Linked DNA regions of Oryza sativa Japonica Group. The main gene of each other region encodes a partner of the protein of the gene in region 5 in a complex. Links are inferred from orthologs where the notes say so. Each region holds a gene or a part of one and is shown on either strand. Other genes may lie near its edges.

Evidence for each region.
Region 1: protein TIC 55, chloroplastic (region 5) and protein TIC 40, chloroplastic share a complex: the UniProt entries of both Arabidopsis thaliana proteins name them as parts of the tic complex. The link is inferred for Oryza sativa Japonica Group from reciprocal best matches to the Arabidopsis thaliana genes TIC55-II and TIC40.
Region 2: protein TIC 55, chloroplastic (region 5) and protein TIC 22, chloroplastic share a complex: the UniProt entries of both Arabidopsis thaliana proteins name them as parts of the tic complex. The link is inferred for Oryza sativa Japonica Group from reciprocal best matches to the Arabidopsis thaliana genes TIC55-II and Tic22-IV.
Region 3: protein TIC 55, chloroplastic (region 5) and protein TIC 20-v, chloroplastic share a complex: the UniProt entries of both Arabidopsis thaliana proteins name them as parts of the tic complex. The link is inferred for Oryza sativa Japonica Group from reciprocal best matches to the Arabidopsis thaliana genes TIC55-II and Tic20-V.
Region 4: protein TIC 55, chloroplastic (region 5) and protein TIC110, chloroplastic share a complex: the UniProt entries of both Arabidopsis thaliana proteins name them as parts of the tic complex. The link is inferred for Oryza sativa Japonica Group from reciprocal best matches to the Arabidopsis thaliana genes TIC55-II and TIC110.

What each region holds. Positions count from the first base shown.
Region 1 is NC_089038.1:22,289,890-22,294,803, forward strand, and holds the start of protein TIC 40, chloroplastic, read right to left. Parts: upstream 2,962-4,914; 5' UTR 2,883-2,961; coding exon 2,690-2,882; intron 2,181-2,689; coding exon 2,066-2,180; intron 1,986-2,065; coding exon 1,928-1,985; intron 1,841-1,927; coding exon 1,823-1,840; intron 514-1,822; coding exon 261-513; intron 122-260; coding exon 3-121; intron 1-2. Other genes in the region: uncharacterized protein, read right to left, coding at 3,816-4,295. UniProt on the Arabidopsis thaliana protein: Involved in protein precursor import into chloroplasts. Part of the motor complex consisting of a co-chaperone (TIC40) and a chaperone (HSP93) associated with the import channel (TIC110).
Region 2 is NC_089040.1:5,941,152-5,945,987, forward strand, and holds the start of protein TIC 22, chloroplastic, read right to left. Parts: upstream 3,101-4,836; 5' UTR 2,923-3,100; coding exon 2,482-2,922; intron 2,397-2,481; coding exon 2,334-2,396; intron 1,896-2,333; coding exon 1,821-1,895; intron 1,065-1,820; coding exon 1,020-1,064; intron 165-1,019; coding exon 105-164; intron 56-104; coding exon of another isoform or gene 26-55; coding exon 1-25. Other genes in the region: uncharacterized protein, read right to left, coding at 4,696-4,836. UniProt on the Arabidopsis thaliana protein: Involved in protein precursor import into chloroplasts. Imported into the intermembrane space via the Toc translocon. May be involved in the import pathway used by proteins without a cleavable N-terminal pre-sequence.
Region 3 is NC_089036.1:30,721,737-30,725,470, reverse strand, and holds protein TIC 20-v, chloroplastic, read right to left. Parts: upstream 1,927-3,734; 5' UTR 1,704-1,926; coding exon 1,020-1,703; 3' UTR 609-1,019; downstream 1-608. Other genes in the region: transcription factor BIM2, read left to right, coding at 23-170, 254-374, 474-530; rhamnogalacturonan I rhamnosyltransferase 1, read right to left, coding at 3,643-3,734. UniProt on the Arabidopsis thaliana protein: May be involved in protein precursor import into chloroplasts. Not redundant with TIC20-I, TIC20-II or TIC20-IV.
Region 4 is NC_089044.1:19,356,540-19,360,645, forward strand, and holds the end of protein TIC110, chloroplastic, read right to left. Parts: coding exon 3,927-4,106; intron 3,125-3,926; coding exon 2,970-3,124; intron 2,863-2,969; coding exon 2,740-2,862; intron 2,635-2,739; coding exon 1,648-2,634; intron 1,365-1,647; coding exon 1,113-1,364; 3' UTR 779-1,112; downstream 1-778. Other genes in the region: uncharacterized protein, read left to right, coding at 142-273. UniProt on the Arabidopsis thaliana protein: Involved in protein precursor import into chloroplasts. Forms a voltage-dependent cation-selective channel at the inner envelope of chloroplasts, which specifically responds to a transit peptide.
Region 5 is NC_089036.1:34,183,035-34,187,325, reverse strand, and holds protein TIC 55, chloroplastic, read right to left. Parts: upstream 2,612-4,291; 5' UTR 2,518-2,611; coding exon 898-2,517; 3' UTR 773-897; downstream 1-772. Other genes in the region: uncharacterized protein, read left to right, coding at 1-125. UniProt on the Arabidopsis thaliana protein: Involved in protein precursor import into chloroplasts. Part of the redox regulon consisting of TIC32, TIC 55 and TIC62.

The DNA.
Region 1 (4,914 bases), on a different chromosome or scaffold from region 5:
ACTTTTTGCTCAGTATCCTCCATAGTTTCACTCTGTTTACTCTCACTTTTTACATCCACTGTCTCCAGTGAAGATTGAAGTTCCTTTTGCTGCAACTCTTCAGGAGAAACGTCAACAAAGGCTGCAAACATTTTGTTACAATAACATGAGATATGCATGACAAAAGTATGAAGAAAACATAAGATTAGACACTAATCACAAGCTCCATCCCCTATTCACTGATAGTTGGAGAAGAATTCTCAGAGATAAACGGCCAATACCAAATTTCTTCTTTGGCTGTTCAGCCACATCAGCCTCTTCCAAAGTTCCAGTTGCTTCCACTTTAGTAGCTGAAACATCGACAGTTGCAGATTGAGGAGAGGTATCTTTCCTTGGTTGTGAGTATGGGTAACTGCTAGGAGCTGCAGGAGCTGCCTGTGGTGGCATGGCAAATGGGAAAGGCGAGTTTGAGCCAAAAGTGTTTGGCGGTGCCTGGGTCATCATTGACTTGAATGCTTGTTGCATTGCATATTTCTGCATCAGAATTAGCAATGTGTCAAAACTGGCAAGCAAGGGAGAGTTATACGATTTTAAGTTCCAACAAGACATTATACAGATCAAACCTACAAAGAGAACATTGTATTAATTAAATCAGTGCAACAATGGATACATCACGATATACTTTCGAGAAAAGAAGTGGTGCAACAATGTTAACTCTCTAGTAATTAAAAGAACTAGTGGAAGTGATGATGCTGTATCATCCTCACTTTGGATCTTTTATGGGTGAATTTATGTATACATGTGTGTTACTTATAGGTTTTTTTTGTAAAATATTGCACTATTTTACATGCCAATATTTTGAAGCTGGGTGAGGTGATATGATCATATTTTACATGCAGAATTTACATTAGAGGACTTCCTTTAGTCTTTTATATATAAAAAAATTTGATCTTAGTGAGTACTCCCTCCGGCTCCATAATTCTTGATGTTTTGGACAATGACACGGTCTTCAAAATATATCTTTGACTATGTTTTTCTATTATAATATATAATAAATATATATATTTTTACTTTTATTATTGTACTTTATAAGACAAATCTAAATATGCTGTTCTAGTACCTTTAAACTAAATATTTTTAAAGTTATTGGTAGTCAAAGTTATAAAAATTTGACCTCAACCTTGTCCAAAACGTCAAGAATTATGGAATCGGAGGGAGTACACCAAATTGTTTTGACATCCATCACAATGCATGGATATTATGCTATTTTATCAATATTGAAAAGAACTAGAAATTATGTGATAAGAAAATGAATTGTCTAACAAAACTACAATACTCCCTCTGTACTCGTAAAGGAAGTCGTTCTGGACAGCGACACGGTCTCCAAAACACAACTTTGACTTCTTGTTTCTATAAAAATATTTATTGAAAAGTGATATATGTATACTTTTATGAAAGTATTTTTCAAGACAAATCTATTCATATAATTTTTACATTTTCAAACTCAACAACTTGAGAGTTATTCATGATTTATATTCCCAAGGTTTGACTTAAACATTGTCCTAACATCTTCCTTTACGAGTACGGAGGGAGTACACTGCAACAGTACCACCTTTGCTAGAACATATGCCATGCATTGCTTCAAACTATTAAGAACTAGAAAGGAAGGCATGGCTCACATGTGGGTATGTAGGTTCATCACAAAAAAAGCTCACTAAAATACCTCTCTTGCTTATGTACTAGTATGCAGAGGTGACCATGGGTCATTCTCAAGATCAAGTATGCAATTGATAGGGTACATACCATTTGAAGATGTAGAAACAGAGGAAAGTTGTGAACTCACCTTTACCATCGAAGAGACCTGATATAACAGCCAACACCAAGTATTAAAATACAACTCTAAGAACATTTAATCACAAAAAAGCATTACAGGTAATTGTATTCACACCATAGAAAATGCTGCGGACAATGCTACACCAACTCCAATCCAGAAAACAGGCGAACCGCTGCACAAAGGATTTACATGTCATCATGCAGTGTAAGTTGAGAAAATTGTAGCCAGACAAAAGAAGGGAAACTGGCGCACATGTATGACGATGGGGGTGGCATGGGAGGTAGGGAACCCGTTCCAGTTGACATATTCTCACTGTTGGTCGAAGACGACATGCTTGCAAATCCATTTGTCTTTAATCCCTCGAAACCTGTTGTTACAACTAAACAATCAGAATAATGGAGATCCTCCGGCAGCATAAGATTAAAATGGGGGAAATCCTAAGCTGATTGGGATTGTCTATTCGTCGGCTATTACTACAAACAAGGACAGATATGCTGACCATTTTGTACTCATCATTTGCCACACTACCAATACTGGATAAGGTGGCCATTACTAACTCACCAACTGCCACCATACTACGAAAATAAAGACAGTATTCCATCACGGATGCATGACTTAAGGTCACTAAATTCGCAAGGATAACACACTCAATTCCACTAACGAAGCCCATGGCACAGCGATGGATCCAGCTGATACACAGAGTATAATAAAATTCCTGACAATCCCACAAAAAAAAACACTATAGCACGGACACTTGAAGCGAGCGCATACGAGAGCTTTCAGCGCGCACCTACCCAAAGAGCGCATCCGGCTCGCATCTAACGAACAAACCTAAAACGGAAGCACACCCACACAGAAGCACACCACCCCCCTCACCGTTCCCGGACCCGCGGGCCGCGGCGGCGGCGGCGGCGACGACGACGAGCTTGGACCTCCCAGCTCCCCTCCGCCCGGACGCCGCAGCCGTCGCCGGGAGAGTCTGCGAGGAGGGGCGGCGGCGGCGGGCCGCGGAGAGGGGAGGCAGGCGGGGAGAAGCGGAGCAGGAGGAGGCGAGGACCAGGCTCTCCATGCCGCCTGCTGCGCGCGCGGGGGGAGGGAAAACCCTAGCTTAGCTCTACTGCTGCTGCTACTACAACTACCACCCCCTCGCCCCTCCCCACTCGCGCTAGGGTTTTGGGTGGGTGGGTGCGCGCGTGAGTCGACGAGAGACCTCGGGCTCGTGTTGTGTAGGCTACGTTCCCCCTTTTACCCCTGCGGTGAGTGATAGGAAGCTGAAACGGAGGGGAGTCATCGCCTTCCGCTGCGTGGGGCTAGTATCCATCGCTATCGGGACATTCAGAGTTTCAGACTGTCAGCGGCTCATTTCAGGCACTAATTGCAGACAGCAACATTTAACCACTGATGAAAAAAAATAATACTACTACTAATTAAGATGCGATGTTTCAAAATTCGAATATCTCAAAATGCAATTCGGGCCAGTTCAAAAAATGAAAAGGGAAATCCAGTAAAGTCGAATAAACAACTTTTATGCCTTGTTATTAACTGACAAAGTTCAATGTTTTGGTTCTGAATTTGAGAGAAGAGAGAAAATTAAAGTAATCCCGTTCACCATGGAATGGAGTGTAACTAGTAGTAGTAATTTGTGCCATTGCAGAAATCATATCGCGTTCAATCACTCAAGTTACAAAAGTACAACGGTATACATGAATGAGAACATATGCATACAACCTTCAGTTCACTGTGCTAAGTTATTTCCCATCTTACAGCAGAACAAATGTTCAGAAAAGCCGAACGAGATATTCTAACGTTGAAGGGTTGCCTGCACATATATTTTGATCAAGCAAGGTAGAGCATCATGCAGATCAAACCAAGGGGATTATCTCCTGGAAATGCTAGAAGGGTGAAACCATCCATCATTTTACAGTCTTCCCGAAACCTCAAACAAGAATATGATGACCTTAGCCTATAAGAAAAAACTCGGTGAGTATCTCTGCCTCGTACTTCATATCTGCTGCGCTTTGGCTTTCTTCCGCGCCAGAGCTCTTTCTCTGGCAGCAGCAAGTGCATCAGCATTTCTCTTATAGTGTTCATCCGTGATCTGTGCTGGTTGAGTATTCTGTGGATTCTGGGTCTGAGGAGCTGGTTGGGTATTTTCTGGTGTCTGGGTCTGAGGAGCATCCAAGGAAACATCTGCATTTTTCTCGGTAGATCTAGCAGCAGCTGAATCCCTTGATTGAGTTGTAGCAGGTTCTTCCACACTTCTACTTTCATTGGCCGTCTCTGCTCCTTCACCGGAGTCCCTTTTGTGCTTAGGAGAGCGATCGGATACTTCAGCACCAACCTTGCTAGTTTTAGCATCTTGAACTTTCTCGTCTAACTTTTCAGGTTTAGCATGTTTTGTATTGTCATGTGTCTGTGCACCGAAAGCAACATTCTTACTAAGACCAAAGTAAAAATCACTCAAGTCTTTCTTCTTAGTAACCTGTACAAAAATAGACGAAGGAAACGTAATCAGTTACAGTGAGCCAAAAGAATTTTTTGTTGTGAACCATTAGAAGTAATTTTATCTTAGCAAATACTCCCTCTATCCCATAATATAAGGCGCGGTCAAAGTTGGCACGGTCTTCAAAACGAATGTTTAGCTTATAATTTCTCATATACCATAAGGTTTGTAGTAACAAAATTATAACCATATGAATGTAAATTTAAATCTCGATCTAATGGTATAATTTTTAACAAATAAAATTCATTTTATATTATACTAAGTGTTGGTCAAATGTTTGAAATGTTGAAACTTCAAATGCATGCGCGCCTTATATTATGAGATGGAGGGAGTATCTGATTTGGAGATAAACAAAACTATTGCATTAATTTGGTGATCAACAAACATATTTCAGATTCCCGAAAGGTTGCTTGTGTAAGCAGCAACCAGAAGATAGTGTTTTTCGTAACCAGCAAAAAGCAAAGTGAAGACAGTCCTTTAAAAAGAATGCTAAAAACATATAAAAAAAGGTAGGTTTACAATTTTGCATAGCAATATAACATAAAAATAAGTGAAAAGGTCCTCTCTTTTCTCTCTCGTACTCTTCTAGCAAGACAGA
Region 2 (4,836 bases), on a different chromosome or scaffold from region 5:
TTGTAAGTTCTCTTTCTATGTCCTCCTGAGCTAAGAAGGCGAAAATGGTGAAGACCTAAATCAGACCGGGTAAACTACATGAAAGAAATTGAAGCCTGGCAAACCTTTTGAAAATATATCGGACAGTAACGCTTCTTCTGTTTCTTAACAACCAATAGGTCTGACTGCACATTCAAATGGGACATTATTGCTATTGGAAAGAATAAATCACCAAATGCTGAATATATCACTTAATGTCTTAAATAGTCTGTACTTAGGATAGAACGCTATGATAATCAAAAACAGCTATCAGCCTGTCAAATTCACAAGTCCAGTGCTGCAAACAACTGAATAATTGGAAAATCATACATATAATGGCACAATATCTTGAAACAAAGTGTTCAAGCATCTCCGGAAGAAAGTTAAGCATTCTCTCCTGCCATGATGCTTTTATTCCACGTGATTTTTCATGTCATACTGCAATAAACATGTAACCAACTGCGTTGATGGACCTAAAGCTGTGTACTTCAGTTTTTTCCTTGATAAGAAAATCAGGGCTTCCCTTGTTCTATGACAATCGAAACATCAGAAGATCTGATATTCCATGAAAAGGTTTAGACTACTGCACGCCTAAACTTTCAATTGAAAATTTTTGACTATCCGTTTATCTTCTAGTCCTATTTTAGTACAACAAGTCGTGCCAATAAGATAAGGCTAAAGCTTCACAAAATGATGCACACATGTGACAAATAACGAGAAATTATGACAGGACAGTTCATGCATTTACATTTAATAAATAGGCATGGGCTAATAACTAACAGGAACAAGCAGATAGCTTCAGAACCTACCTATTAGTCCATGCACTTTGGTAATATTAAGTTCACGAGTAATTTATACTGAGTCAAGATATTAATCAGCAAATCAACTTTAATACATTTATTGTTAATATTCTAAAATACATTTAATAATCGCAAAGGGTATGTCTCAATGCTTTCCATAAAAGTATATTTTTCAGTAAATAATACAGACATGAGTATTACCTGGAAAACAGGAACACCATCAAAAGCAGTTAAGCCAGATTTTAACTGAAAAAACGAAGGATAATCGTCACTGGGCTGAAGTAAGTTTGTTAGCATTCTTACATTAGTGAAACAATGCATAAGATAGCAATAATCTACATACTATACACTGTTAAGACGTCAGCTCTGATATACTCATGATTCATGAGTGAAAAGGCATGAGTTGTACATTCCATGATATACTCTGAAGTCTAACCACTGAATGTGGACAGTCCACACCAAGAAACAGGAAAAACAATACAGATTATCTATATTTTAAAATGCCACCTTCCCATATGTTTTTTTTTCTTTTGCAAGGAAGGGACTTTCTCCTTATGAAATAGGCTGACATGTGACAGCACTCCATGTGTTCTGCGTGCATCTGTCTAGTGTATGCATATCATTTGTGCATTCTGGTGAAGGCAATGATTAGTGACAGTACAACTTCTCTACCAATAATATATACAAGGAACCAAGTCCATGTGTAAAGTCTTGAGTGGTGATACAGAAAATAGGTACACACATACCCAAACTGCAAAGATCTCGGACTGTTGGTAAATAGTTAAAAACATTAAATGGGAGTAAAATTGGTATATAAGGAGTCCATTGGAATTTTGGAAGATGCAATGGCTGCATTGATGCTTTTAAGGAGTAATGCTGTCAACCTGAGGAACTGAATTCCACTTTTCTAGTGAGATAGAATGATGGCCAGATGGGCGTACTAAACATATCCACTTATAGATAAGATGGAGCAAAGAGCCACAAATCCAGAGAAGAACTAACCTCCAACGCATTCTTAATTTGAAGAGGGTCAGGTAAGAACCGAAATGCAATACCTTCAGCCTTCAACATGTAAACCTGCATTTAGAAGGACGGCTTAAGGTATATTTACATTGTAAAACATAAAAAATAATCAGCATAGTTAAATGTAAGCAATATACTAGTTGTATTGAATGAAGTAGAAACGAGTGAAGTTGCAACGAGGCTAGCCTAAGCCCAAGAACCCTCAAGCATGAATATGCAAGAAAAGCATGGGTGTTGTAAGAAAAGATAGACTAAGCTAGGTAAAAGGGGCAGCACATAAGAAACGGCAGCTTTCCTTGATTTGCTCTTGGAAGAAATCCAGGTCCCACTTTGCTACTCGTTAATATGTCATTCAGTTACTAAATTATCATACAACTGTATGTCCCTATTTAACTCTTGCATAAACCCAAATGCTCCATAACTCTTCCTATGCAGAGTTGGTCCTAGAAGAGTGATGACAAAATTGATCACAAAATATCGATTTAATCCCACCTGATCAAGCGTAATCGGCACCACTTTTGCCCCTCTCCCTACCACCGGCTGCCGCATCCTCACCTAAACCACACAAACTCCCAAACCATTAGGGCGAAAAGAACAAATCAAACAGCAAAAGGCATAACAGATGGGAAGATGAGGATACGTGGGTGAGGAGAGCGTCGGCGTCCTCGGAGCGGAAGCAGAGGAGGCCGAGGGAGCGGAGGCCGGTGGCGGGGTCGGAGACGAGCACGAACTCGTTGCTGGAGTTGCAGACGGTGAAGACGGGGGTGCCGGTGAGCGCGCGCGCGACCTCGTCGGGCGCGAGCGCGAGGGAGAGGGAGGCGGAGGCGCCCTGCGGCCCCGGGGGCGCCGCCGACGCCGTCACAGCAGCGAGGGCTGGGCGCGGCGGCGCGGCGAAGCGGGACGCGAGGCGGGAGAGGTGGTGGTGGAGGAAGGAGGAGGCCGCGGCGAGGGGGTTGGGGGGCAGCGACGAGGAGGAGGAGGAGGAGGAGGGGGCCGACGGGTTGGACATCGGGGCGGCGGCGAGCGGGAGGGAGGAGGAGGAGGAGGAGGAGGAGGAGGAGTTCGGCGGCGGCGGCGGCATCGTGGTTGGCTGGTTGCTGCTGGGTTTTCGGCACGCGACGCGACGGACGACTTGGATGGCGGCGCGCGGAGGTGTCGTGTTGCTCGGCGTCGCCGAGGAGCGGGCCGCGGGCGGCGTGCGGATTCGGTCGAGCCGCACCGTCTGGCCTCGTGGAGTCGTGCTGCACTGCAACTGGTGTGGCCTTGGTTGGGTTTGGTCGGGGGGTTTTGCTTCGGCCAATCCATTATCATTTTTTTTTTCAGTGAAAATATGTTAAGCTCAATTATCAATTTTTTTCAGTGAAAATATGTTTAGTTACAACTTACAATATGGAGGATGAAATTAGCTTCTAAGAGCATCACCAATAGAATTGGAATTATTCGCCCCTAAATTTTTCAACTCCGCGCACGCTGTCTGGGGAAGAACAGAGATCCAAGGGTGAGTGGGTGACTACCGTCTCTGTACCTCTACGTATCATGTGCTGGCCAGCGCGGCTTGCCTTGCTTAGGTGGAGGTCCAATTGCTTGCCGCATTGGCACCTCATCGTCGTGGAGGCACAGGCGGCACGGGGAGGGAGCACAAAGGAAGAGGAGGGGACGTGGATCGGATCGAGCTACGACGTAACGTCAGGTGCGTGCACTGTCCATCTATCATCCAATGGCTGTTGTTTCTCTTGCCTTCAGTCCAAACAAATTAATCAGTCTCCTTCTTAAAAAGCCCAAATTAATCAGTCTACTTCTTGAAAAGCCCTCAGAAAAACAGAGATCTAAGGGTAAGTGGGTGACTACCGTCTCTCTACCTCTACACATCATGTGCTGGCCAGCGTGCAAAGGAAGAGGACGGGACGTGGATCGGATCGAGCTACAACGTAACATCATGTGCGTGCACTGTCCATCTACCATCCAACGGTTGTTGTTTTTCAGTCCAAACAAATTAATCAGTCTCCTTGAAAGCCCTCAGATCCAGCAAGTAGCTTTACAGATGAGGCAAATATGAGGACTGTTCAAATGAGTATGAACGCACGCACGCAAACCTTACCCCTATGAGCATCTTCGAAGACTGGGCCGGCAAATGCATCCTGGAGATTGACGAAATCACCACGGGCGCCTCGTTGTCGACGGGTACGTCGCCTACCACTGAAAGCACAAAGCCGTTAAATGCTGAAAAGTTTGCTTCCATGGGGAGTCAAACCCAGGACCTAAGGTGCTACTGAGACTCTTGTAACAACTATGCTACATGCGCTTTCGCAAACATACTTAGCCATTATTATCATTGACTCATTATGATATTATATAGCATCCTTATAAATACCAATACAATTAAAGTACTGCGGACTAATAAAGTGCCAAATCATTAAATTGTCCATTGTGGTGCCTAAATTATCTTGGCCCTATTAACTAATGATTAGTGTAAGTAACCATTTTCTCAATCATCGATTGCGTTTTAGATATTATCTTACTTTTTTAACCTCTAAAAATCTATACTAGTATAGCCTTTACCAAACACCAATTGAATTCCCCTTTGTTAGTAAGCTATCGATGGTCAGTTTAAATTGGGGCCTAAAGAGATCGACAAAGATCACACATAATTTCTCCAAATCCCGCAGTGATCGATGAAACGAGAGTAAAAATAGAGAGTGGAATCTCCGAGACCAAAATCAAGTCAACACAAAAGATGTGCAAAAACACAAACATACACAGCACAGCGCGCAATCTCACACAGTTACGTACGTACATCGATCCTGATCACGCACACTTGTCGATCACAGTATGAGAGAGAGGGAGGTTAATTAATTCAGTAGTAGGAGGCGCCGAGCTCGGCGATCTTGACGTTGAGGTGCCTCTGCGCGAAGGCGAAGAGCGTGGCGACCTCGTCGTCGCCGGCGACGGCGCCGTCGCGGTTGGCGTCGGCGGCGCGCACCCCGGCGCGCGCCTT
Region 3 (3,734 bases), about 3.5 Mb from region 5:
CTTTAATGTCTTTTAAACGCAGAGAACAGCACACCCAGCAATCAGCCACCATGGCTGAGCATGTCAACAATGCGCCAAGAGTCTGAACCAGGCAACAAAATGCCGAACAAGCATGAGAAACAGACCCTTCACGATGAAAACCATAGTATTTCTAGCGCTTACTCTCAAGGGTCTGTTCCTTAACCATTTGTTACTTCAAGACTAAAGTTAGCACAATATGTAACTAACAGGATACTACTTCAATTTGCAACAGATTATTCAACAGATTGACAGAAGCTCTTAAAAAGTCAGGACTAGATCCATCTCAAGCTAATATAGCTGTAGAGATCAACCTGGCCAAACGAGCAAGAGATAATACTAGTGACAACTCAAAGGTATAGAGCTTTACAAAGTTGATTTATTCATGATGTTTGAACATATAGATCGTCTGCTTAATAATTATTTTGTACCTTTGTCCTGACTTCACATCACAGATCAATGAAGATGAAGAGCCCATCCAAATAACCAAGAGGCGGTGCAATAAAAGCTAGAACTTTTTCTCCAAACTAGAAAATTCAGACATCATCAAGTTCAGACAATAACTTGGTAGCAGCAACCACAATCCCCAATTGATGCAATTATTTTATTTATATTGCAACAACAATTAACTAACCTAAGCATCCATTCATATACCATTGAAGCTCCTTCAGGGGAGGTCTTGAGGACACTCCCCAATTTCTCATTCATCATCTGTAAATGTAGTCCAGAATTCCATATTCTATAGCGAGTATATGTATTGCTATCTCTAAAAATTCCCAATTCAACTCATTCGTTCATACACTTGATTGTAAATTTTGTAATGCCATTGTACCAACCTTCCGTAACTCCATTCATTAAATTGGTTACTACAGCTGTAAATAATCACTGTACTAAACTGAACTTGTGAATTTGCGATCTACTAACATCAATGAGGCATCGAGATGGATGTGTATATCATTTTCCTTTGTTCCTTTTCACCAGCAAGATTTGACAAAAGCTCATCACATCACCTGGCGCTCGGCTGCATCTGCGACGATTGGCAGCCGCGGCGTCTTCCCTAGCAGGCACGCGCCCCCGCCGTAGACTAGGCAGACGAGCAGGAAGAGGAACACGGTGCTCTCCATACTCTGGAAGAGCTCGAAGCCGATCCCGCCACCGGTGGAGGGCGCGAAGGACTGCACGAGGAGGTCGGGGAAGATGAGCAGCACGTCGAGCGCGACGGCCTGCATGGCGTTGAAGCGGACGAAGCGGGAGAAGGCCTGCTGGTTGCGCACGACGGCGAAGTAGAGGGTGAGGAAGAGGAGGAAGGGCGTGAGCGGGGAGGAGCGGAAGAGGCGCGCGGCCGGCGCGAGCGGGCTGAGCAGGGTGCTGAAGAGCGGGAACTGCGCGAGGAGGAAGCGGCCGTGGTGCACGCCGTCGAGGAACGGGTAGAGGTAGGCGACGGCGGCCACCAGGCGGTCGGGCGCCTCCACGGCGCCGCTGTTGTCGTTGTCGTTGTTCGGGTTGGAGGCGCGCGGCGGCGGCGCGGGCAGGCGGGCGCGCGTGGCCCATACCCCGAGCGCGGTCTCGCCCGCGTGGCCGAGGAGCAAGGGGTGGCGCGCCTGGGAGCGTAGCGCTGGCACCGGCGCCGCGCGGCGGAGCGGGCGCGGGGACGAGAGGAGGAGGAGCGAAACGGCGGATGCCATGGAGAAGGGATTTGGTTGGGGGAGCAGCGCGGCGCGGCGCGGCGCGGCGGGTGGGAGCTGAGATTTTTGCGGGTGCAGTGCCGTGAGGTGGGGGAGTTTGGCTGGTTGGGGGGCAGTGGCGCCGCGCGGCTGCGGCCACCGGGGCGAAGGCGAAGCGGGGTTGGGAGCGTGGAGATTTTTCCAGATTTCGGTGGGATGTGGGGCATGTGGCCGAGTGGGAGACGAGGAGATTGGTTGGTGGTGCCTGGTGCGGGAGGGCAACGGCGAGGGCGCCGCGGCAGGCAGGAAGAGCATTAGATGGGCCAAAGCTTGCGGCGCCGTGCTGTTCACTGGGCCGAAAGGATCAGGCGTACTGTTTGGGCCTCGTCTGAGACGCGTTTTGCCGGTTTTCCTGCGTGGGCTACCAGGCTTTCGTCGTACCATATGCATCGCGATTTCGTAATGGGCTAAGGCGTTGTACGCCTCTCAAGCTGAACTCCGCGCGCGCGGCCCGTAATGCCCGTAGTGTGTCGTTCAGCCGTTGGCACTTGACAATTGGCTGGCAGCGATCTGACACACACAAGGAAATGGAGTGATTTTCGTTGTACGAACTGTAATAATGTGTGATTTTCGTTTAATGGATTTGGATGGTCCTGTAAAAGAAAGGGGAGAACAGCTGCAGCCTGCAGCAGCGTGGCACGTTAATCTTCCCTCCGTTCCACACCCGAGAGTTACCTGACTGACTGCTTCACTAGCACAAAAGCAGACTACAAATCTACCAGCATGGTTTACTAATTACACGAGCTATGCAGCTTGCGGATCTACCATTGCCTCATACTGCCATATGAAAATTCATCAATCTCATCCCCATTGCCTCCTACTGGCACGTTTCCCGTCGAATGGAGCACTAGTAAAATTAAATTAAACTCGATCCCAAGATGGCTCTTGCGTCAACGTTAATCCTCCAATCCATCGCACAAAACCAGGCGCATATGCACGAGCTCGAACGTAGCAGTCTAGCAGAGCGATCGCCTAGGGATCGGTTGCACGTCGAGTCCCTCGCGCGCGTTGACGAGTAGAGATCGGCAACGAAGTGGAGACGACGAGGCACTCAACCCCGTGCACTGTGGGATGGGCTCGGCTCGGCTCGGCCGCGCGCTCCGTGCCAGATTCGCGCGCATCTCTAGCGGCTATTCTCGCGGTGGTTCACTGCATTTCGAGCTGAGTGCTCCAACGATCGATGAGACGATAACGAGTAGGACAAGACCACTTAACTGCTGGGTCGCTCTTGGATCAGTGCTAATCCTATCTTAATCGCCACTGAAAACAAGATGCACTGACTCGCACGTTAACAAGTAGAGGCATGTATTACTTCGATACACCACCACAGCACAGCCGTGGTAAAAAAAATGATACATCACCGTGCATTCTGGTGTTCTATAATACACAATCAGAGCATATATACACCCAACAACCAGCAGCATCTGTTCAGACTGCTGAAACAGTTGGTAGTACTACATGGTAAAACTTCAGGAGACGGAGAGAAATTCAAGATGCAAGAGCAGTAATGTCTGCACAAAGTATGAAAAACCTGATATATAACAATTTCCTTCATGAACCATGATCGGTAACGTTCTGTTGAACTAACTTATCCACTAACCCGCCCCCATCTATACATGAATATCTTCTCTTAATCGGCGTAATTAGGAAACCTAACATCCCCAATTCCCCAACATGTAACGTCTATGTACCAACTACATTTGAGTTAAGTAGTCACAAGCTCACAATTGTATCATCCTTTCTTTCAGCTTCCATCCAAACTCCCTTGTCAATGGCCCAACCTGAAGTTCTGAACTGAAAATGCCGAGCCATTTGAGTCAGCTCGGAAGAAACAAGTTCAGCTATGCTGTAAACGTGTAATGGTAATAAGTATACTCGCGCAATTGCGCTATTAAAAATATCATGATGTCCGTAAAAGATTGGGATCTCGCAAGCACTCTTGAGGGTTAGCATAGAAGTAGTCCTCTTCCTTCGGTTTGTCATGAATCACTG
Region 4 (4,106 bases), on a different chromosome or scaffold from region 5:
TGCATTATAATACTTGTCTCATTTGGTAGCTAATACTGCTGCTTTGATATGTATTTGTTCATCTTCAACAAGCTACTTTTAGTAAATCACACTTACTGATGGGATTCTAACTAACTGATTCAAACGTGTTGCCCTTGTCAGCTGGAAGCACCGAAGAAGAAGGCCAAGTTGGCCGCGAAGAGGATACGGAAGATGCAAGAAGAAGAGAAGCGGTTACAAGAGAGGGAATTTGAAATGGCTTTCTTCAGGGAATTTTGGCCCGATAATGTGTAGAACAGGAGGTTAACCTTGCTGGGCGGTTCGACCTGCTGGCTTCAGCTTATTAGGCTCCCTTGTACAGAACAACAGCTTTGACTCCCTTGTTGTATGTGGCTAAAATGTTTACATTGATTCAATGGATGTTTCTGGAGAGAATGCTGGTCTTGTATCATGATTTTGTTGTATAGAACTGTTTGCAATGCTGTTACATGCTGGCCGAATACCTTTTTTTTTTGTTACCAAACTGGCAGAGTACATTCACTTTACAGTCATAAAAGGAAAAATTTTCATCCATAATCGCCCACCCCCACCCCGTTTTTTTTTTCCCAAAGTGGCCGCGTTTATTTTTGAAGTCATAAAAGGAGAAAGTTCCATCCATAACCTGAGGAATTGGAATTTGAAATCCCATCGCATAGCATTTGGTGTGTGGTGTACACACTCAGTTTGATAATGTAAACTGAAAGAAAAATTGCTGAAACATATTGGCTACAATGACCCATACAAAGGGACACATATCATATGCTGCAGTTGAGCTACAACAAAATCGGATTTTATGACTGAGGTAGCAGTGGCGACTGTGATACATAATGAAAAGGGGAAGAAAAAAAATACAAAAAAAAAAGCTCTCGCTATGGTCTGAAAATGAAAAATGCAGCAAAAGAGATTTGTCACCAAATTCGGTGCCAATTTCTGTCTATACAAACAGTTAACGCACGTCAGGATTATGCGTTGCTTCTCAAAACCATATGCCAGCGCCTAGCTACAATAGCAGCGGTTGGCGCCACAGCACCAAGTATGGTAGGTCCTCAACTCTGCTGGCTACCTAACAAAAAAAGACCTTCACATCTCCCTCCCTAGAATACCAATTCATCCTCCTCTTCAGTTGCAACGGATAGTGTGCCTGCCGATGCGGCATCCCGAATCTGGCCGGCCTTCTCGTCGCTTATGCCAAGCAGATACTGCAACCTTGACAGCTTTTCAGGCTTCGGAATGCTCTTCATGTAAATGCCGTACAGATCATCCAGCTCTCCTGATGTAGGCCATGATAGGGGCTTCGAAGCAGGCACAGCCGCGTCGCATGCAAGCAAGTCGTTCAAGGATGCGACCTGCATTGGCAATATATTCCAAGTAAAAATTAGAACGCTGAGTAATTCTAACAGTGCAGTTATTGTAACTTTCCTATTTATACTCTAGTTGAATTTCTTTTGTCATTATGACGTGCCAGTTATCAAGAATAGGTTAATCCTGATATACACCAAGATCAAAGTCAACGCTAAATCAGTACTTTGATAACTGTAGTCAGTGTTTTAATCTTTCAGATTCTTGGAGAAACTAAGTTCCAACATAAAACAAATAAGTAGGAGATATGCAGGGATATTCCTTACGTACCACTTCATCTTTCTTCTTCTGCCGAAGCAGAGCAACAGCTTGGACAAGGGCGTTATCCAACCTAATCTTCGCAATGTCCTGGACAATCGACTTGGCCTTCTCAGCATTAATGATGAGATCAGCTGGGATCTTTACATACACTTCCTCTTCATCAAATTCACCTGTGCCTGACGAAAAGATCTCCTCAACGGATTTTTTGTAAATGTTTTCTCGAAGTGGTTCTGCAATCAAGCTGTCCAATTGAAAATTTGCTTCTTTCAATCCTCGGACCTGCTGTATACCAATCTGTCCTCGAGAAATAGAGGCTTCAATTGCAGAAGACAACTTTGTTGTTGTGATATTCTTGATTATTTTCTGTGCATACTCAGTAGGAAGACCAACTTGCTTCTGTATCTTTGCAAGCTGGTCAGCCTTGGCCTCTGTTAACTTCCCATCAGCAAGAATCACTTCAGCCTGTTGCACAAATGCCTTTTCTGCCATCTTAATGTGAACATTCTGAGCTTCCTTGCGGGTTAAACCAAGTATGTCTCCTAATTGCTTCAGCATTAAATACTCTGAATTATCTTTCTTTGTGGAGATTGCTGTTCCAAATGAAACATTGGTCGTCTCCCCAGTGACACAGAACACCAAATATGTTTCATACAGCTCAGCTCTGTCTCTCAATGGAATGTCATCTTTGAGGGTTATCTCTTTCTGGCTTGACTTTGCCAGTTTCTCTCTGAGCTCTTTATCAGGCCTAGTTTTCCTTAATGTCTCCAGCTGTTCCCATTCGTATTCATCATCCCCCTCAGACTCGCTGACTTCAGGTTCTGAGGTTGCATCTGATGTTTGAGGTTCAGCAGTTGTTGGTTCTCCTTTAATGTCAGCTAAAAGCTCACTCACAACTACTGTGTTGAAGGATATCATCTTTTTCAGCTCTTTTGCAGTTTCAATGCGGTTCCCAGCTGCTTTTGCTCTCTGAATGTAGTTCAGGAATAACTTCCGTACCTGGTCATGGATTTGGTAATATAGAAGTGAATTTCATTCACAGTAGGAATATATTGAAAAATAATATCATCTAGCACTTTTTTTTGGTAATGGGGATTAACATACCACTTTGCTGAAAATGGCCATGACAGACTCGTTTTTCAAATTCAGACCTTGTGCTGCCTTCTTAACAGCCTGTCGTCTATTAGTGTCATATCCATCAACAGATGAAATTGCTTCCACGACAACCTGCAAAGCACTAACGGTTGTAAGAACACCACTAACACAGAACAGGCCATCAACTTTGCCTGAACAAGGGAAATATAGAACAGGCAACATAGAATATTTCATATCACCTTTTCAAACAACTTGCCACAGATTTCTGAATGGACAGCATCAACAGTTTCTTGTGGAATGCAGAGACGCACTTGGAATGCCATCAAAGCTTCCACTTCGTCCTTGTTCAGCTCTCCATCCGCTACAAACTGCTGAAGCTTCTGCCTGTAAATGTCTGGAGTTCGAAGGAGCATAATATGAGTGGGTATTAACAATATATCAAGGAAAGCAACCAGGAGAGAACATCTCGAAAAAAGCATGTTTGCCAACTAATATTTAATAGAGATAATCCAAGAAATGCCATTGACAAGCATCCAAATCCCAGAAATGCCATCAACAAGTGTGAGTTCCAAGAAATGCCATCGTACAAATGACTTTGTCCCAAAAATGCCATCGCCGTTAGGGTTCCGTCCATTCCGCGCCATTAAGTTCTATAGGACGAACAGTGTATTTTACAGCGCAGAATGGAACAGAACCCTAACGGCGATGGCATTTTTGGGACAAAATCATTTGTAGGATGGCATTTCTTGGAACTCACACTTGTCGATAGCATTTCTGGGACTTTGATGCTTTATTAAAGCATGTGATGATGTACCTTAAGATGGAATGGTGAGGAATATCTTATCTTACAAATAGTAATGCTGTTTAACATGAACATAGAGACAAATAGTACTTCTAGTCCCACCACATTTGTCTTATTTCTTTTCTATTGGATATCCATTCCTAATCATGAGAAGCAATACAGCCCAGATGAACCAAAATGCAGACAACTGAATTGCTACAGATGTACTTCCTACATACGGTCTAGGATAACAATTCAGCAGTGTCAACATAGAGCTGATGGTGTATAGTGATTTTCTGCACAGAGCCATCAGGTGAAAACCAGTTCTCCGTTCAATAAATGACTAGGCAGTCGAGCTAAGCACAGGTATGCTGTGAAAATTATAGTGTAACAAGAGAAGGTGTCAAGAAGGTACCTTCATGCATCTTACTAGCAAGTTCCGGATCAAACTGTAACTCTTCACAGATATTTTGGAGGAATGCTGCTTTGCTAGGGGCCGCAGCCAACTCACTATTAAATGATTTAGCAAGTCTCTTTCTGTATACTTGAGCTTTGACATCTGACATGATTGATTCTGCTTCACGCTTGCCCAGTC
Region 5 (4,291 bases):
GTGGAAAGCTTGTTGACGTTGGGTGGCCATCCGTTTGGGTCAGGATTGCAACCCAGTGGGCAACGGCAGGTCTGTACATTTGGTCCCTTGTCGCCCCACTCCTCTTCCCCGATAGGGAATTCTAGATGAACCAGCGTAAGTACTCAACTGCTGAGATCGCATCCTTTTGGAGCATCATCTATCTTGTCAAGCTTATTTGCAAATAGCTAAGCCGTCTCTCTATGTGTGGTCTGTAATATTAACCGTGCGTAAACCAGTGGCAAGAAGTCCCTGTCCGTGTCATGGTTATCGAGTCTGTCTACTTAATAACGTGTGATACCAGGCATTGTGCCTGTATTTTAACAGTAAAAATTGGGTACGTTGTTTGTGTTTGTATATATATTGGAGTTGGTTTACCTCAGCTGGATGGAGTACCCTACATTCGCATTGTACTGCCTACGTTTTATATTACAAGTCATTTTAACTTTTTTTTGAAGTTAAACTTTTATATGTTTAATCAAGTTTATAGAAAAACATAGTAATATATTTAACACAAAACAAAAAAAAATCAAAATATGTTTAATGTTAGATGTAATGAAATTAATTTAGTGTTATAAGCGTCGTTATATTTTTTCTATAAATTTTATCAAACTTTCAGGAAATTTAACTTGAAAAAAAAGTAATTTATAATATGATGGAGTGTACTAACTTTGTATGAGTGCAAGTGTGCAACCATTTGAGAATGCAAGGCATTGGCAGTACGATGCAGATCATTCATCACTCATAACAAAACTATCGATAACTAAACGTCGTTTACTCATGTAGTGATACAAATATACAAGGGCAAAAATAATGAAATAGCTGTACCATTCTACCTTGCTATTAGTATGTGCCAAAGCATGACAGCCATTGCCACGGTTACAGTCTCCTGTGTGTCCTAATAAAATTGGTCGTGATGAGAGACAGCACCCAGTTACACGCGTACGACGCCGCGGCGAGCGCGGCCGCGGACGCCAGCAGGACGGCCTTCAATTGCCTGGTCGCCGCCAGGATGGCCGCCGCCACCGCCGCCGCGGCGAGCGCGGCGAAGGCGTTCTTGAGCGAGGCGTACCTCTTGACGCTGTCCCTGCACCCCTTGCAGTGCACGACATGGCGGAAGTACCTGTTGGTCGGGTTGGGCGCGTGCGTGGCGCCGACGCCGCCCTTGGCCGGGAACGACGCGGACATCCCGGCGACCGCCCCCGCCGGCGCCTGCTCGACAACGGCCGGCACCGGCGGCGGCGACAGCGTGCTGTGCCCGAAGTAGTACGGCATGCCGTGCCCCGCCCTGTCCATCCACCTCCGGTACTCCGCCACCCACGTGTCCGACGACCGGAGGTTGAGGTAGAGCTCCTTGGTCGGCACCTTCTCCCGGAGCAGCACCTCGTTCTGCGACGACAGGAACCCCATGTCCTGCTCGAACACCTTGCACGCGTTCTGGTGGAAGTACCACCTCGGGAGCACCTTCACCAGCGGCGACGTCTGGGTGGATCCGAACCGAACGAGCAGCATCGACTTCCCCTGCCCCGCGGGGCGGCAGAGGAAGTGCGCCGAGAAGCACTGCTCCTTGCCGTCCTTGTCGACGAACTCCAGCGTGTTGGTAAGCACGCACGGCGCCTCGAACCGGAGCAGGTTGCGAAGGTGTGGCGTCCTTTGCTTCCCCCAGTATCCGGCGAACCCGCGCGGCGTCCGCTCGGTGACCTCGAAGAAGAGCGGCTGCGCGTCCTCCCGCTTCGCCGTCCAGTCGGTGCGGTCGTGGGAGATGGGGACGTGCGCGGGATCCATGAGGTTCTCGAGGAGGATGGAGTGGTCGTAGGGGAGCTCGTGCACCGTGGACAGGTCGGTGAACCCCGGCCGCGCGTACGGCTCGAACCACGGCAGCTTCCGCTCGTCCGGCGGGTTGGTCCCCGACATCCACGCCCACACCACGCCCTGCGAGTCCCGCACCTCGTAGCTGCGCGCGCACGCGTTGCGCGGGATCTTGGCGCCGTCGGGGAGCTGCGGGATCTTGACGCACTTGCCCTCGCCGTCGAACTGCCACCCGTGGTACAGGCACTCCAGCTTGCCATCCACGAGCTGGCCCTCGGATAGCTTGGCTAGCCTGTGCGGGCACCGATCCTCGTGGCAGCGGAGCACGCCGGCGGCGTCGCGGTACAGCACCAGCTGCCGGTCGAACACCGTGAGCGGCAGCGCGGCGTCGTCGGGCACCTCCTTGGCGAGGTACAGCGGGTACCACTCCTCCCTCCAGTCGTATCTCGCCGCCGACGCGTCGTCCTCCTGTTCTTTGGGGAGAAGCACGCCGTCCTCGACCACCGCCGCCGCCGCCCGGCACCCTCGCCGTCGCCGCCTCCCGCCAGCCGTCCACCGCACGCCGCCATGTGCCACCGCCGGCGGCGGCGTCCTGGCGCGGCGCGGAGGAGTCGCGGCGGAGGGGGAGATCGGGAGGAGGAGGAGAGAGGAGAAGGGCGACGTGGTGGTGGTGGCGCGAGGCGTCGTCATGTGGATGTCTTCTTGGTTTGGCTCGCGATTTGCTTGGTGGAGAGAGCTCGCTTCATCTCTCCGTATACACTCCCGCGGTCGCGCCCGCTACTACGACTCTTCTCTCGCTACATTTCACGTGTGTCCTTGTCACGCAACTGCATCCCTGCCTTGGCAAGTTCATGCACATCCTCGCGAATTCCACACGACACTACACACTACTCCTTTGACAGCTACCTGGAAGGAATTAATAAAACTAGCATGGTGGCCCACGCAATATTGCGCGGCTAGCATCATTATATTTTCTCTCATATAATAGCATATATATTCTCTCATTATATTATTCAAATATATTAAAATGACAACATAATTTTAAATTTTGCTATAACTTTACGAAACTACTAATGTGTAATATTCATATTGTATTTTATATACATGTTAGTTATTAATTATTTTTAATATCAAATTTTAGTTATTTATAAATTATATATATTCCTATATGGACTCTAGACTCGTCTTTTAATATTTATTTTTTTTGAATTCTGAATTTTTATTATTTATAATTGTATTTCTATTTGGACTCTAAACTCATCTTTCAATATTTTTTAATTTTTAATTTCAAATTTCAGTTACTTCTAAATTGTATTCCTATATTGACTTTAAACTCTTCGTCCCATATTTTTCTTAATTTTGAAATTTAGTTATTTGTAAATTATATTTTTATACGAACTCTAAACTCTACTTTTAATTTTATTATGTTTATTCTGAATTTTAGTTAGTTTTAAATTCCTATATGGATTCTATACTCTACTTCTAATATTCCTTATTTTTTTAAATTCTGAATTTCTATTTTTTTTTCTTAATTGTATTTCTATACAGACTCTATACTCTACTTCTAATATTTCTTATTTTTAATTCCGAATTTCTATTATTTCCTAATTGTATTTCTATATGGACTCTATACTCTACTTCTAATATTCCTTATTTTTAATTCCGAATTTCAGTTATTTCCTAATTGTATTTCTATATGGACTCTAGTCTCCTCTTCTAATATTCCTTATTTTTTAATTCCGAATTTCAACTATTTCTAAATTGTATTTCTATATAGACTCTAGTCTCCTCTTCTAATATTCCTTATTTTTTAATTCTGAATTTCAGCTATTTTTAAATTGTATTTCTATATGGATTCTGCCTTTTCTTTTTCTCCGATTAATGTGAGAATTTCTAGGCCATGAGAGCGAACGTGGAGACTTCTTTTTCTGTTCCTTTAACAATATAATAGATTGTTATGCATACAATCTAACCGTTCGATTTATATATGACTGAATTTGATTAACGGGTGTAAATAGCTACCTTGTACTTCTTTGATTGGTATTGGTTGCATATCTCTAGTTATATAACTAAGTGGCATGTGTAGCTCAGGAATTAATCATCACTACGCTATTAGAGTAGGTATAATAGTAGGCTATAAGTCAGCTGTAAACATATTTTAAGAAGATAAATAAGGAGAGAGAAGAGCAGTGGGCTATAGATTTGTAGCCAGCCGTAGCACGGACTCCAAGACGCCGTGTGTGTATGATATGTGGGACCAGGTATTAATAGTGTAGTATGTAACTATTATATAAATAAGCTATTAGATTGACTATAGATAAATTAGAGCTGGTAGTTTGCTATACTATTTGAACTTGCTCTTAGTAGCTTATGATTTCAGTTGAAAGTTAATAGATCAATGGTAATCCTGCCTAGGCCATGTATCAGAATTTGTATGTTAACCTATCCTACTACTAGTAGTAAA